2 linked regions of the Callithrix jacchus genome follow. The protein of the gene in region 1 interacts with the protein of each later gene in a pairwise test. Links are inferred from orthologs where the notes say so. Each region holds a gene or a part of one and is shown on either strand. Other genes may lie near its edges.

Region 1 (7,429 bases):
CAGAACTAGGGCCACATTATTATTTTCAACCAAAGCCACATATTCTTTTATAAAGTTATACGTAAGAGAGGCACATTGGCCATGATGGATTACACGGAACCTACCCACTTCAGAGTCTCCATGAAGATTATGCATCTTGGCACATCCAAGGACTGCCACTCTCCTGACATATGAAGCCTTATCACGCAGACCATTGAGAATAGGCTGTTGTATATACTCCTGCACACCAGGCATCCTAAGCAACACATTCTGGAGTTAGCCAGATCCTGAAATACTAATTTTGACATATATCAGCCCTGTTCACTTAACAGAGGGTTTAGCAGATGCTGCCTCTATCAGATCATGAAGAATTGCAGAGAATCTCTATCAAGTTTAAAAAGCCATAATTTGACTTTTCTGTTTTTTTCTTGTTTTTGTTAGAGATGGGGGTCTCACTTTGTCACCCAGGCTGGAGTACAGTGGCCTGATCATAGCTCACTGCTGCCTTGAATTCCTGGGCTCAAGCCATCCTCCTGCCTAAGCCTTCCAAGTAGCTGAGACTACAGGTGTGTGTCACCATGCCCATTTAATTTTTAAATTTTTTGTAGATACAGGGTCTCACCATCTTGCCCAGGCTGGTCTCGAATTCCTGGGCTCAAGAAATCTTCCTGCCTGAGTCTCCCGAAGTGCTGAGACTACAGGCATAAGCCACCATACCCAACCTAATTTGACTTTTCTTTTTTTTTTTTCTAATTTGACTTTTCATTTTGAATGCTGCTGCACAGGCAGCAAAAAAGATACACATGTAATTGTTTAGAAATATTTAACCAAAACTGAGGACTATTTTATTGAGGGTAAGAATGAAAAACTCCCTCTAATAAAATTGTATGATACAGGTTATCAGGCCAAAGCAACAGCTGAAAATCTGAGTTCAGCATACAATAGTGTTTTCCCCAGTATTAAGGAGCTCAAATAAATTGTGCTCTTTAAAAATCTGCCCTGCTGAGGCAGCCATTGAAGACCATACACAGAAGAGGGTACTCACCTGAGGCTGCACATGCTCCGTAACGCCAGCCCTCGCACCATTGGATTGGGGTCTGAGCAATCTTTGCACAGTGTATTGATGGCCAGGAGAGCCAGATCTGGTTTTAGGGGAGCATATGTGCACATGTACAGATAAACCAACTTCTTCTGGACAATATCTACAGTGGCACTGGCCTTCACCATTTCCATAAAAACACCAGACATGTCCAAGCCCTGAGTCATGTACCTGAAACCAACACACGTGTTAGAAAGAAGTAAAATACAAAATCTCCAACTTACAATGGAGGGAGTTTTACCTATATATCTCCTGGTTACTCAACTAGATTGTGATCTCTTAGATGGTAGCAGCCAGGAATACCTTGTCTATTATATCACACAATACTTCATACCATAGGCCTGCAATAAACATTATTCTTCTATTCATTCAACAAACACTTATTGAATTCCTAGTACACTTTGGTGAAATTCAACTTTTACATGCCTGGATGTAATATCCAGGGCTATGCTCTGGGAACATAATCTTGAAGAAGGTGTGGTCTCAGACCTCTGAGAACTACAAATCTATTAATGAGTCAGTTAAGAATGCCATTCATTACAGTATGATAGATAAGTATTTTTTATTTTTGTTTATTTTTTTTGAGAAGGAGTCTTGCTCTGTTGCCCAGGCTGGAGTGCAGTGGCGCAACCTTGGCTCAGTGCAACCTCTGCCTCCAGGGTTCAAGTGATTCTCCTGCCTCAGTCTCCCGAGTAGCTGGGACTACAGACGCCTGCCACCACGCCTGGCTAATTTTTGTATTTTTAGTAGAGACGGGGTTTCATCACGTTGGCCAGGCTGGTCTTGGACTCCTGACCTCGTAATCCACCCACATCGGCCTCCCAAAGTGCCGGGATTACAGGTGTGAGCCACAGTGCCCGGCCAATAGATAAGTATGTAAACAAATGTATTGTACAAGATACAGAGGGGATTCAGAGGTCTGACACTGGCATGAATTCAGAAAATGTTTCTTCACAGAGGAAGTAATACTTTAGCTGAATCAGCAGGAGGCCACAGGCAGATGTAATAGAAAGGTGATGATACATGCTATGAGATATGTAGACATGAGTAGGACCGGCACACATTCTTTTGAGAGTCTGCAGGTAGTTGGATTGACAGCTTGTTCCTCGGGTGCTGTGATAAGTTTGGACTTTTTTCTTTCTCAAACTGGTTTCCTACTGGAATCAGCTGAGATATTTACTAAAAATACAGATTCCTGGGTTCCCTGCCACCCTACTGAAATCAGAATCAATCCCTGGACAGGAGGAAATAAAGCACCCCAGGGGCTTTTGTGCATAGTAAAGTTTGTGAACCATAGCTGTAGGCAAGAGTTATATGTTAAGATTTGTATAATGGAAAAATTCTGTCTCCAACGACTCAAGGGGGCCTACGAGAAAGCTGGTGCAATTGCTTTGGTGATGAAGGCCTGGGCCAGAACAACAATGCCAATAAACAAGAGAAGACAGATATTTAGAATTATGAATTAGAACTATCTGACTTGAGAAATCAGGGTTCAGGTGTCCCCAAGGTTGGCTCCCATGCTTAGTCGGCTGCTGGTGGCATTTATCAACGCAAACCTAAGCCGAAGAACAGGTTTGAGGAAGACGGAAGGATGTCCGTGCTATTTCGGGCATACCTCTCTGATAAACCATTCAGATGAAAATGCCAAGCAGGCAGTGGGATACGTGGGTTTGAAGCTAAAAAAGGAAGTCTGTACTCGCTATATTATAGATCCAGGGGTCAGCAGTAATTATCGTTCAAGCCCTTGATACGGAGGAAACTACCCAGCTGAGTAACAGACGCTGCAGGTGGGAGACTAAGATGGTACTCCAAAGCAGCAGGACGAAGACCGAACGTGTAACTGCTAAGTGTGAAAGCTAATTTACCCTTTGAGAGAGACCGGGGCTAGGGAGCCCCGATGGGGACGGCAAGGCGGGCAGTTAGCACGAAGGGAAGGTGATACCTAATTACTCGCTGGATGACATTCCGGTAGCGCAGCCTATCAGCTTGAATGTGAGGATTGCACAGAGCCTTCTTCAGCTCCTTCACCACGTCCTCGGAGCCGAGGTAAGGCATCTTCCTAACAGTCACAGGGCAGCTCCCACGGCTCCCACGGTAACTCGTGGGCTCCTCCTCGTCCTGATGTGGGAGCCTGAGTGAAGGATATACGGGTCAGTGAAAAGACAAAGGCGAGATCTCGCCCCGGGCTTGGCTTCCGTAGGGCCGGCACGCTGGCTCTGACACACTGCCACGCCCTCCGCGACCCCGCGAGCCCCACCCTGAGCTCTTCAGGCCCTACCCTCGCCGGGCAGGCCGTTCGCCCCGCCCACAGATCTCTCCGGTTACCAGTAGGCCCTCCGCGGGATTTCCAGCGCCGCGGCCGACTGACCGCAGGCCCCTCCCTCTCTAGTTTCAGCCTTTCGTGCGCCTCCGCACCGTTCTCATCGCGGATAGGCCCAATCTTGTTTTTTACGGAAGTTCCGCCCCCCTGTCAAGAGACCAGAGCAGCCCTGCGGGTCTCCCAGCGAGCGACCGCTGAGCCTAGTCTGGACTGCGACCTTAGGATGCCCTTCCCCCAACCTCTCACCGTCCCGGCGCAGCCGCTCGGCTACCTCCGGTGGAGTGCGGCGGGCAATCGGAAATCGGCTACTTCGGCCTGTCTCCTCCCAGCAGCGCGCGCTTTTGAGTGCCCTACCCGGCTTCCACTCCCGCGCGCGGGTGGGAGTGCTGAGCGCCTTCCGCGATTTGGGTTCCCGGGGGCACGGTCACTTCCTTTTTCTACCCACTCTAGTAACTTTTTCTTCAACTGGGCTCTTTCCCTTAGGGTCTCTGGCCCTGTTCTTGTCCCAGCATGACTTTTATCGGGGCGCCGTTGTGGAAGTCTCAGGCAGGAACCCTGCCCCCATGGAGAGCATCCCTCTGGTGACTCCAACCCTGCCACCATGAATGGGGTCTTGATCCCCCATACGCCCATCGCAGTGGACTTCTGGAGCCTGCGCCGGGCTGGCACCGCACGGCTCTTCTTCTTGTCTCACATGCACTCGGACCACACCGTGGGCCTGTCTAGCACCTGGGCCCGGCCCCTCTACTGCTCCCCAATTACAGCCCACCTCTTGCATCGTCACCTACAGGTATGGGGCTGGAGTCGGCCTCCTAGAGCTGATCCAGGCATCTGGGTTGGGACTTTGACCTGTCAGTCTTGGAGTTATAGAATGGGGTCCATGAAGACTGTTTTACAAATACGGAAATTGTTTGAACCCAGAAATGTATTTTTTTTCATAGACTGCTCAGCAGGACCAGAAATGCATCTTTAACCTAGAATAAGAACATGATTTCCAAGTGACCGACTTGAGATATTTTAGTCCAGCCAAGGAAGCTATTGCTACCTTTATATATAAGCTAGGCCAATGTTTCCCAAACTTGCCTCATCGTTTTTTTTTTTTTTTGAGATTAAGTTTTGCTCTTGTCACCCAGGCTAGAGTGCAGTGGTACAATCTCGGCTCACCACAACCTCCGCCTCCTGGGTTCAAGCGCTTCTCTTATTTTAAACTCCTGAGAAGCTGGGATTACAGGGCGCCGGCCACCACACCCGGCTAATTTTTTTGTATTTTTAGTAGAGATGGGGTTTCACTGTGTTGGCCAGGTTGGTCTCGAACTCCTGACCTCAGGTGATCTGACCACCTGAGCCTCCCAAAGTGCTGGGATTACAGGCGTCAGCCACTGCCCCTGGCCTAAACTTGCCTCATCATAAGAATCTGCTTAATGTGCTCGGTGGTTCTCCAGCTCTCTCCCCACCCCACCCTAAAGTCTCCAAGAGATTTAGATCAGGAATAAGTTTGAGAATTGCTGACTAGACTGTTTGCTGAACTCTTAATTAAGTTATACAAAGGGTGGGATGGGGAGTGGAAGGAGGAAGGGCAGATTGCTTGGGAATCCCCATTACAGCTTCTGCTCCTGGCTGGCTCAGGATTTGGTCAGCTTTCTTCCATTCAGGTTTGGGATAGTCCCTGACCCAAGGAGGTAACAGGGAGGGGAGCCCGTGGTCACTGGGATGACTAACTGTTTCCTCAGGTATCTAAGCAATGGATCCGAGCCCTGGAGGTTGGTGAGAGCCATGTATTGCCCCTAGATGAAATTGGACGAGAGACCATGACAGTAACCCTCATCGATGCCAATCACTGTCCTGGTTCAGTCATGTTTCTCTTTGAAGGATATTTTGGAACCATCCTCTATACAGGTGGGCCTCTCAAGGAATCCCAGCGACTTCTCCAGACTAGATATTACTTTTCTTTTTCTTTCCTTTTTTTTAATGTATAGACTGGGGCCTCAAAATGTTGCCTAGGCTGGTCTCAAACTCCTGACCTCAAGTGATCCTCCCACTTCAGCCTCCCCAGTAGCTGGGATTATCAGCGTAAGTCACCACACCTGGCAGACTTTTCTTGAGCAGCCTTAACTCAATAGAAGTCTGGAGGTGCTGGAGTCCTTCTAGCTTCATCACATATGAGCATAGTGACCCCATCTCAACTGATTTCCTACTCTATTTTTTTTTTTTGAGGTGGAGTTTTGCTCTTGTCACCCAGGCTGGAGTGCAGTAGTGTGATCGAGGCTAACTACAACCTCCGCCTCCCGGGTTGAAGCAATTCTCCTGCCTCGGCCTCCCAGGTAGCTGGGATTACAGGCACCCACCACAACGCCCAGCTAATTTTTGTATTTTTAGTAGACATGGGGTTTCACCATGTTGGCCAGGCTGGTCTCAAACTTCTGACCTCAGGTGATCCACCTGCCTTGGCCTCCCAAAGTGCTGGGATTACAGGCATGAACCACTGCACCCAGCTGATTTCCCACTCTTTAAGGGTCCAAACCATGTGAAGAGTAATTGAAAAATAGAAGTAGGATGGAGCCATTTCCACAAAGAAACCATGCAGCTATACTGCATGGTTCAGTGCCAGGGTACATAATAGTTTTTTCAAAGACTTGTAAGCAAACACCCATCTATTGTTGAGGTAGGAAAGTCTTGTCTTCTTTTGTCTCTGACCTTCTGCTCCCATATACATACTCTTCCAGGTGATTTTCGATATACACCATCCATGCTGAAGGAGCCAGCTCTGACACTGGGGAAGCAGATCCATACTTTATACCTAGACAACACCAATTGCAACCCAGCCCTGGTTCTTCCTTCCCGACAAGAAGCTGCCCACCAGATCATCCAGCTCATTCGAAAGCACCCACAACATAACATAAAGATTGGTGAGTTGTTTCCTTTCAGTTTTCTGTTACCTGTAGGTAGAGAACTGGGTTCTTTGACGGTTCTCGCATCTTTCAGATCTTTGTGCGGTTCTCACTTTGTCCTACACTGACCACCTTATTTAAAATTGCAACCTGGCTGGGTGTGGTGGCTCACACCTATAATCCCAGCAATTTGGGAGGCTGAGGTGGTTGAATCATGAGGTGAAGAGATCAAGACCATCCTGGCCAACATAGTGAAACCCTGTCTCTACTAAAAATACAAAAATTAGCTGGGCATGGTGGCGCATGCCTGTAATCCCAGCTACTCAGGAGGCTGAGGCAGGAGAATTGCTTGAACCCAGGAGGCAGAGGTTGCAGTGAGCTTAGATTTCACCACTGCACTCCAGCCTGGTGACAGAGCTAGACTCCATCTCAAAAATAAATAAATTAATAAAATAAAATAAATAAAATTGCAACCAGGTGTGGTGGCTCACGCCTATAATCCCAGCACTTTGGGAGGCCAAGGTAGGAGGGTCACTTGACCCCGGGAATTTGAGACCAGCTTGGGCAACGTGGCAAGACCCTGTCTCTACCAAAAATTTAAAAATTAGCTGGCAATGGTGGTGCTTGCCTGTGGTCCCAGCTACATAGGAGGCTGAGATAGGAGGATTACTTGGGTCCAGTAGGAGGTCAAGGTTACAGTGAGCCATGTAAATGACTTTGCACTCCAGCCTGGATGACAGAGCAGGACCCCATCTCAACAAATAAATACATACATACATACATCTGCCTGGATGACAGAGCAAGACCCTATCTCTAAATAAATAAATAAATAAATACTGCCTGCATGACAGAACAAGACCCTGTCTCAATAAATGAATGAATGAATGAATGAATGAATGAATAAAATAAGTAAAATTGCAACCTACCCACCATCCCCATTCCCAACTCCTGATCACCTATACCAGTTCATTTTTTTCATTATTTTAGCAGTCATAACCTCCCAGTATACTCTATGCTTTTTAAATATGCTGTTGCTTGTTTGTTGCCTTTCACTCACTTCCTGTGGCACATGCATGTGCACGTGTGCACACACACAAGCATAAACTCCTTAAGAGCATCACTAGAAGTGGGAAGAGACTTTAG
Region 2 (7,993 bases), on another chromosome or scaffold:
AGGTATGTTCTTTTCTTTTTTAAATGGAGTCTTGCTGTGTCACCCAGGCTGAAGTTCAGTGGCACAATCTTGGGTCACTGCAACCTCTGTCTTCCAGGTTCAAGCAATTCTCCTGCTTCAGCCTCCCAAGTAGCTGGGATTACAGACCTGTGCCACCTCAACCGGCTAATTTTTGTAGTTTAGTAAAGACGGGGTTTCCCCATGTTGGCCAGGCTGGTCTTGGACCCCTGACCTCAGGGTGTCCAGGCCTTGGCCTCCGAAAGTATTAGGATTACAGGCATGAGCCACCGCACCTGACCACCCCTTTCTTAAGCTTGAGCATTCTACCCAGGAATTTAGCAGGAACTCAGTCACATGGCCACATCTAGCTGCAAAGGAATCTGGGAAATGTAGTCTTTCAGCTACCATGTGCCTAGCTAAAAACTGATAGTGATCAGTCTACCACATCCACCTCACCTGTGGGCTTTAAAAACATCCCTCCACGGGCCGGGCGTGGTGGCTTACGCCTGTAATCCTAGCACTTTGGGAGGCCAAGTGCTAGGATTTGGGATCACGAGGTCAAGAGATCCAGACCATCCTGGTCAACGTGGTGAAACCCCCGTCTCTACTAAAAATACAAAAAATTAGCTGGGCATGGTGGTGCGTGCCTGTAATCCCAGCTACTCAGGAGGCTGAGGCAGGAGAATTGCCTGAACCCAGAAGGCGGAGGTTGTGGTGAGCCGAGATCACGCCATTGCACTCTAGCCTGGGTAACAAGAGCGAAACTCCGTCTCAAAAAAAAAGCAAACATCCCTCCACATAAACAGAGTCTACGAGTGTTATATTCAGGGCATTGATCATTGTCTGCAGGTGCAGGGCAGGTAACTAAGGGAGTAATACTGGCCTGGTGGGATTCATCTCCAGTTGAGGGTGACACCCACTGCTTGCTCCAGCCTGTTGTAGCTTCTGCCCTGCCCCTGGGTTGGGCCTTTCAAGAGAGCTGAAAATAGGATCTTAATGAGAAATCTCCCAGTGTTGGCCAAATAAAACCTGAAACAGAAGGCATCTCTGTTTGATTCCAAATCAGTTTCCCCACAAGGCGAGGCCAACTCTGCCCTGAGTTCTCCCACCTGCCCACACCCTTATGTTCTCTGGAAATTCCCACTCAAAAGCCAGAACTCCCGGTTTAGACATTTTAATATGGATGTTTTGTTTTTAGATACTATTCCCGTTAGCTTATTCATACCATGTCACCTACAAATATGAAAAAATATTTCATGACTAGAATGATACCCAAAATTATTTAAACAATTATCAGGGGACTAGTGCCATCCAGTGACATGGCCCCTCTGAATGAGGAGGGTGGCAGGGGGGGGTGTGAAGAGATTCAAGGACTTGAATTTCCACCCCACTCAATTGGGATCCAGCTCCCAACTTTGCTGCCCCCTCCCCAAAGGCCCAAGTTGCCCCATATCTGGAACTCATCCGGTGGCACTACAGGCCAGCAACACCTTACCTTCCCTGCCCTCATTCAGGCAAAGGTCCAGGGCAGTTTGCTCCCATAGCCCATGGTATCCATCTGGGAAGAATGAAGGGTGATGGCACAATCCACAGCTAAGTGTATAACTGGGAATTATGGAGACACAAATCATTTCTCTCCCATACTCTCTTCCCATTTTTTTATAAACAAAAGATCTCATTATTGTCTGATTTCACCATCTCCTGAAGGCCCTGTGTCCTCCAAAGACTGAAGCTCTAAATGAGAATCTTCTGGGTCCTCTCTATTAAGAGCTATCTGCCCTCCCAGGGGAGGGAAGCAAATCCCTCAGGGCCCCCAGAGTTCCTGCACCCCATATCATGGGTGGGTCTCATGGGGCACAACGTCACCTGTCACCATGGAGAGGCTTAAGCTGCACTCAGAGCTCCCCCCGGGCATGCCGAATATAGTGTTGATGCAGCCCTGCTTCCTGAGCAAAGTCCTGACCACACTCTGTGCAGGCGAAGGTGCCAGGAGGGGCTCGGGCCTCATGCATCTGGCGGTGCCGCCTCAGAGAAGCAGCCTGCCCAAAGGTCTTGCCACAGTCAGGACAAGGGAAGATGGGTTGCGCAGTAGTGGTTGCAACCGGTTGGGTGGGCTTGACGGCTGGACCATGGCTGCGCTGGTGGGTGATCAGGGCTTTGGAAGAGGGGAAGGAGCGGGCGCAGGTGAAACAGATGAAGAGGACCCCCTGCAGCTTCTGGGCCACGAAATCCGCTGGGTGTTCCCGCTTCATGTGACGCTCCTGGAACTTGGAATCTGCGAAGGTGATGAGGCAGCGGGTGCACTTCGGGGCCCCCAGGTGGCCTGAGGGATGTGGGAAGAGGTCAGGGGAGGCCAGTGGGAGTCTCCAGGACCTCTCCTGAGCCCCAGAATCACACCAGCAATTAACATTGAGTGTGCTGTGTGCTAGGTTCTGTGCTAATGCTGGACGACCACACAGGAGAACTGTTCTTGGACTCATTTTATGGATGAACAAACTGAGATTCAAAGAGATTAGGAGGCTGAGGTGGGTGAGTTCAGGAGTTCAAGACCAGCCTCAGCAACACAGTAAAACCCCGTCTCTACTAAAATACAAAAAATTAGCTGGGCATGGCGGTATTCACCTGTAGTCCCAGCTACTCAGGAGGCTGAGGCAGGAGAATTCCTTGAACTTGGGAGGCAGATGTTGCAGTCAGCCGATATCATGCCACTGCACTCCAGCTTGAGTGACAGAGTGAGACTCCATCTCCCAAAAAAAAAGAGGTTAGGCAAGTTGCCCATAGTCATGAGGCTAGGAAAAGAAATGGTGGAGCCCAGAGTCAGCCAGCCCAATAGAGGGGTACGGTGATTACAGCCTAATGTTTGGAGCCAGACCGCTCCCCCACTTCCTAGACACAATCACACCAGTTTCTTTATCTGGAAAATGCACTAATAACAGCATCTATTCCATAGGACCACTGGAAGGAATAACTGAATTGCTATGTAGTCCTTTGCAATGGTGACTAATGATACAGACAATGTAGCTCGACACCCAGGATCAGCTCTGGAACTCACAGCTAGACCTTGGTGTTCTGTTGAACATAAATAATTTCTCACAACATCAAGGACAGCCAAGGCCATGCTGTGACAAGAATGAATCAAGACAAGACTACATCATCATAATGTCTGAACACAGACAAAATATGAATGCTGTCCAAGCAGACAAATGACCAACCTTCCTCCCATCCTGGCTAATGTGAATGTCCGCTGCTGCTTTATCAGTCAGAACTTGAGCCTCACCTTCTTCCTTCCCCCTTCTGCATAAGATTTATTAAAATAGCCAATCACAGAATTGCCCCTGCTTCCTGGTGGCATCCAATCCAGAGCCACCCAACACTTTTGCTGGAACCTTTTCCAAAACCACCCCCCACAAGCCCAAATCCTATGTCGTTTTTAACACTTAGTGAGTCACTCCACAGTTCTCCATGGTGTGTGTTCTTCATTGCACTGAGCCATAAACCCAATGTGTTCAACTGCGGGTGTGTTCCTGGTAGTCTCTGGCTCAAGGGCATTGAGACTACAGCTCTTGTTAGAAATACCTTTCTCTGCCTCAGTTCCCAGTTTAAAGGGCCTATTATTCGAAGGACTGAATGAGATAATGAATGTTAAAATCATTCATTAAGAATAAATACACGCAGCACATAATAAAACATTGAGCAGGAGATACTGCTATTACATATCAAACTGGCTACCATCATTAACACCCAGCTGTCCCCTTTGCTGCAGTTAATCCCATAACCACCCTGTAAGGTGGGTAGTGCCAGCCTCTTTTGACAGACTGGGAGACCAAGGCCCAAGTTACACTGAAAGTCTAGGGCAGAGTCAGCACTAGGATCTTGGGGCTTCTCTCCCAGTAAAACTATTCTTAGCCACATCTCCAACCCAAGCCTCTCCTGGAAGCCACCTTATCCCTCTGAATGCATAAGCATCGCAATCTTGCTTATGCGGCCAGAGGAGGGTGAGTACTCTGGCCACAAAAGCAGGTGTGAGGAGAGGCACTTCCTTCTGGAGCAGCTTATGGGCCATTACAGCACCTTCTCGACAGACAAAACTCTGTGGCGCCTTGGACACTAAAGTGCCACAGAGATCTTAGCGTCACTCCTGCATCCCACCCTCCTCTAGCCAGCCAGCCATGTGTACTCACAGATGTTGCCTCCTGGGCTCTGGGGACTTATGTCCTTGGGTGAATCCTGCTGCTCCATGTTCTCTTCAGGGTTCGGGTCCTCCATGGTGCTGGGACCCTTCTAGTCAAGAGAGGAGCGTGCATAAGTGAAGCTGTTCATCTGTTACCAGCAGAGGGCACCCTAAGTCTATGACCTTTGACATCGCCAGAGGCTCTCCTTGCCTGCCTTTGACCCCCACGACATACTCTCCTTGAACTCTAATTGGTGGAGTTCTTTTTAAGAGAAGCTTCAAATCTCCCAAAAGACTGGACTTCCCGGGTTTGGGACTCCCCTAGAGTCTTCTCACTGGTGTGACCTATGACCTGCTGCATCAAACTCACTGAACTCAGCCTGGGAGCCTTTATCTTTGACACCAGCGTCATCCCAGTCTCGAGTGTCTTGGGGCAAGTAGTGATACCCACCCTTTATCCCAGTTCTTCCCGGGAAACATCCTCTGACATCCTGTGATTTTTGTTCCGCCCAGAGCCCGCGCCGCGCTTGCAGCCACTATCCCGCTACCCGCAAGCGCTGCCTACAGGTTCCTGCTCCCAGGCCTCTGTTTTCCTTCGTACAGCAGAGGGCTGCCTTTCGCTGCGCCTGTCAGTCTCTCGCCACAGCGCCGCCACCCAGAGAGAAGTGGAATAGGGCCCACTCAGTCTCAGGGTCCCCCGTGGTTTGCGCCCTTTCGCCACATGAGTCTCTCGGAGCCGAGAGCCCGGATTTGCCATCCGGCAATAGTACAGTCGCACCAGCCCGGTGCTGAAAATAACGGGAGAGGTCCTTTTCTGCACTAGGGCGCGTTATGATGACGTTTAGCCCCCTGTGCCGTAGATACCTAAGCTTTTTGCGTCTGAATGAGTAGGCGCTCGTGGCGCGCAGGCGCGTTGACTCCCTCATTGTTCTAGGTTCTGAGGCCGCGGAAGAGGGGCGTGCGCACTTTGGCCGTTCTGCGCAGGCGCTGCGAAGGTCTGGTTCTCTGCAGTCTCGCTTCCAAGACACACCCCCTTGGTTGAGTGAGTGACGTCAGGTTAAAGCCAACGGGACGCGTCCCGGCATCTCTAAATCACGGCGTTCTGGCCTCTTCGGCCTCCGTCCACCGCGGCTTAGTGTCGAGCTTCTCCGCGACTGACCCACTGCCACCGACTGCACGCTCCCGTGGGTCGGCTCTGCTCGGTTGGTGATTTGGAAGGCGGAGAGGGGGAGGATAAAAACAACAGTGTGTCCGAGGGAGGAGGGACTGGAAGCCAAATTTCTGAGGTTTTATTTTTATTTATTTATTTTTGAGAGAGGGCCTTCATGGCCCACTGCAGCCTCCAAATCCTGAGCTGAAGCGACCCTCCCACCGCAGCCTTCCGAGTAGCTGGGGCTACAGGCGTGCGCCACCACTCCCGGCTAAATTTTATTTTTTTATAGGGACAGGGACTCTACCAGCGAGTCCCACATGTTACCCAGGCTGGTCTCGAATTCCTGGCCTCAAGCGATCCTCCCGCCTCGGCCTCCCAAAGCGCTGGGATTACAGGCATGAGCCACCGCCCCTGATTTTTGAGTTTTTGAAGCAGAAGGGGAAACGTTTCCATCTAGAAAGAGGGTGGGCAGACAGGATGCCTGGGATCCCGGGGGAATAGCGTCTGGGCTCTGGCTTTTTAGGTCCCGGAGAATGACGCTCAAGAATCGAAGGGGACAGAGTGGAGGATTGAGTCCTGGGTTCCGGGTGGGGCGGCTAGGAAAGACAAAGGCCAGGTGTTCACTGACCCGGGTCTTCTCCACCCGTTGCTTTCCAGCCATGCCTCCGCCGCAGGGTGACGTGACCGCCTTATTCCTCGGGCCTCCGGGCTTGGGAAAGTCTGCGCTGATCACAGCGCTGTGCGACAAGGATGTGGAGACCCTCGAGGCCCCTGAGGGACGGCCGGACTCTGGGGTCCCCAGCCTGAGAGCTGCGGGCCCGGGCCTTTTTCTGGGCGAGCTGAGCTGTCCACCCGCAGCGCCGGGGCCCTGGGCGGCGGAAGCCAACTTGCTGGTACTGGTGCTGCCGGGACCTGAGGGCAACGGCGAACCCTTGGCCCCAGCCCTGGGAGAGGCAGCGCGGGCCGCCCTGGCCCGAGGGACGCCGCTACTGGCTGTGCGGAACCTCCGTCCTGGGGATTCACAGAATGCCACCGAGGCCCGTGATCAGACTGCAGCTCTGCTGAACAGCGCTGGGTTAGGAGCCGCGGATCTGTTTGTGCTACCGGCGAACTGTGGCAGCTGCGACGGCTGTGAGGAGCTAGAGCGCCTCCGGGTGGCACTGCAGAGCCAGGCAGAAGCGCTGAGGAGGTGAGTGCCGGCTTTCTGGCTGGGTCCCTTAGTTGGGACCCTACGCACCTAGGTCCTTTTTGAGGTCCGTGAGATCCCTCCCCCACTGGTTTTGAGGCAAAGCTTAACTCTATTATTGTATATTTTTTTCCGTCAAAGACAGGATCTCGCTATGTTGGCTAGGTTGAATTTGAACTCTTGGCCTTAAACAATACTCCCGCCTCAGCCTCCCAAAGTGCTAGGATTACAGTCGAGAGCCACCATACCCAGTCTTTTTTTGAGACAGGATGGAGTGCAGTGGCACAATCCTAGCTCACTGAGGGCCTCCACCTCCTGGGCTCAAATGATCCTTCTGCCTCAGCCTCCAGAGTAGCCAGTACTACAGGCTACAAAATAGGATCTCACTGCTTCCCCAGGCTGGTCTTGAACTCCTGGCCTCAAGCCACGCTCCCACCCAGGCTTCCCAGAGCCCTAGGATTAGAAGGGAAGGGCTTAACACTTTATTTGTTGGGGCCCTGAGGCTCATTTTTCCAGTCCCTGGCCCAACCAAGGTGATCTGCCTGCCTTGACCTCCCAAAGTGCTGGAATGACAGGCATGAGACACTGTGCCCAGCCCCCTGGAAGATTTTACCTGAAAATGATAATCCTTGAGCCGTCTCCACCATTAGCTTGGTTTTCAAGCGACCTCGGTTGCCCTAAAGCCATACTCGCAATGAGTGTTATTATTAAATATATTATTTTATTCATTTATTTGAGATGGCGTCTTACACTGTTTCCTGGGCTAGACTGCAAAGGTGCGATATCGGCTCATTACAACCTCTGCCTCCTGGGTTCCAGCTATTCTGCTTCAGCCTCTCACGTAGCTGGGATTACAGGCACCCGTCACCATGCCCGGCTATTTTTTTTCTCTCCTTTTTTGGGGGTATTTTTGGTAGAGACGGGGTTTCACTATGTTGGCCAGCCTGGTCTCAAACTCCTGACCTCACAATCCGCCCACCTTGGCCTCCCAAACTGCTGGGATTACAGGCGTGAGCCACGGCGCCTGGCCACTGAGCATTATTTGGGGGCGTCCTCATCCACCTCCTTTCTCCAGCTCCCTCTTGTTTCTGTGCCCACTTGCCAGGTACCTCCTGAATTGGCTCTCCCACCTGCCAGCCTCATCATTTTCAGACTTTAAAATGAGATTCACAGAGGCAGTTCCTTGTTCCAGTACTCTCATCTTTTTTCCTTAGCCTCACCTGCCTGGGTGACTACCTTAGCCACTCCTGCTTAGTACGAACTAGTAGATGAGATTTCTCCCTTCATTGACCCTCCTTAGGCCCAACCTCTGAAAAGAGTGCCTTTGGGGACTTTGTCTGTCTCAAATAGTACTGAGACAGACACATTTGCGGTTATTTGTTCTAGGCCCCACCCTCTTTGAGCTTTGTCCCGCCCAGCACAGCTGACCCTTGGAAAAGCCCCGCCCCCAAATACTGTATTCGGTAGAAGTCTTAGTCCAATC

The links. The genes of interacting proteins can lie anywhere in the genome.
Region 2: the proteins of AP4B1 (region 1) and ZNF576 interact in binary tests that used the Homo sapiens proteins (3 or more experiments, as listed by UniProt). The two-hybrid records come from large-scale screens. The link is inferred for Callithrix jacchus from reciprocal best matches to the Homo sapiens genes AP4B1 and ZNF576.

The regions. Positions count from the first base shown.
Region 1 is NC_133508.1:151,878,474-151,885,902, forward strand, and holds part of AP4B1 (AP-4 complex subunit beta-1), read right to left. Parts: intron 6,305-7,429; coding exon of another isoform or gene 6,122-6,304; intron 5,295-6,121; coding exon of another isoform or gene 5,129-5,294; intron 4,189-5,128; coding exon of another isoform or gene 4,000-4,188; exon of another isoform or gene 3,768-3,999; intron 3,702-3,767; exon of another isoform or gene 3,645-3,701; intron 3,643-3,644; exon of another isoform or gene 3,357-3,642; intron 3,210-3,356; coding exon 3,021-3,209; intron 1,250-3,020; coding exon 1,025-1,249; intron 236-1,024; coding exon 105-235; intron 1-104. Other genes in the region: DCLRE1B (5' exonuclease Apollo), read left to right, coding at 4,000-4,188, 5,129-5,294, 6,122-6,304.
Region 2 is NC_133523.1:38,088,410-38,096,402, reverse strand, and holds the start of ZNF576 (zinc finger protein 576), read right to left. Parts: upstream 4,776-7,993; 5' UTR 4,623-4,775; intron 4,282-4,622; exon of another isoform or gene 4,279-4,281; 5' UTR 4,267-4,278; coding exon 4,182-4,266; intron 2,324-4,181; coding exon 1,896-2,323; 3' UTR 1-1,895. Other genes in the region: IRGQ (immunity-related GTPase family Q protein), read left to right, coding at 5,984-6,513. UniProt on the Homo sapiens protein: May be involved in transcriptional regulation.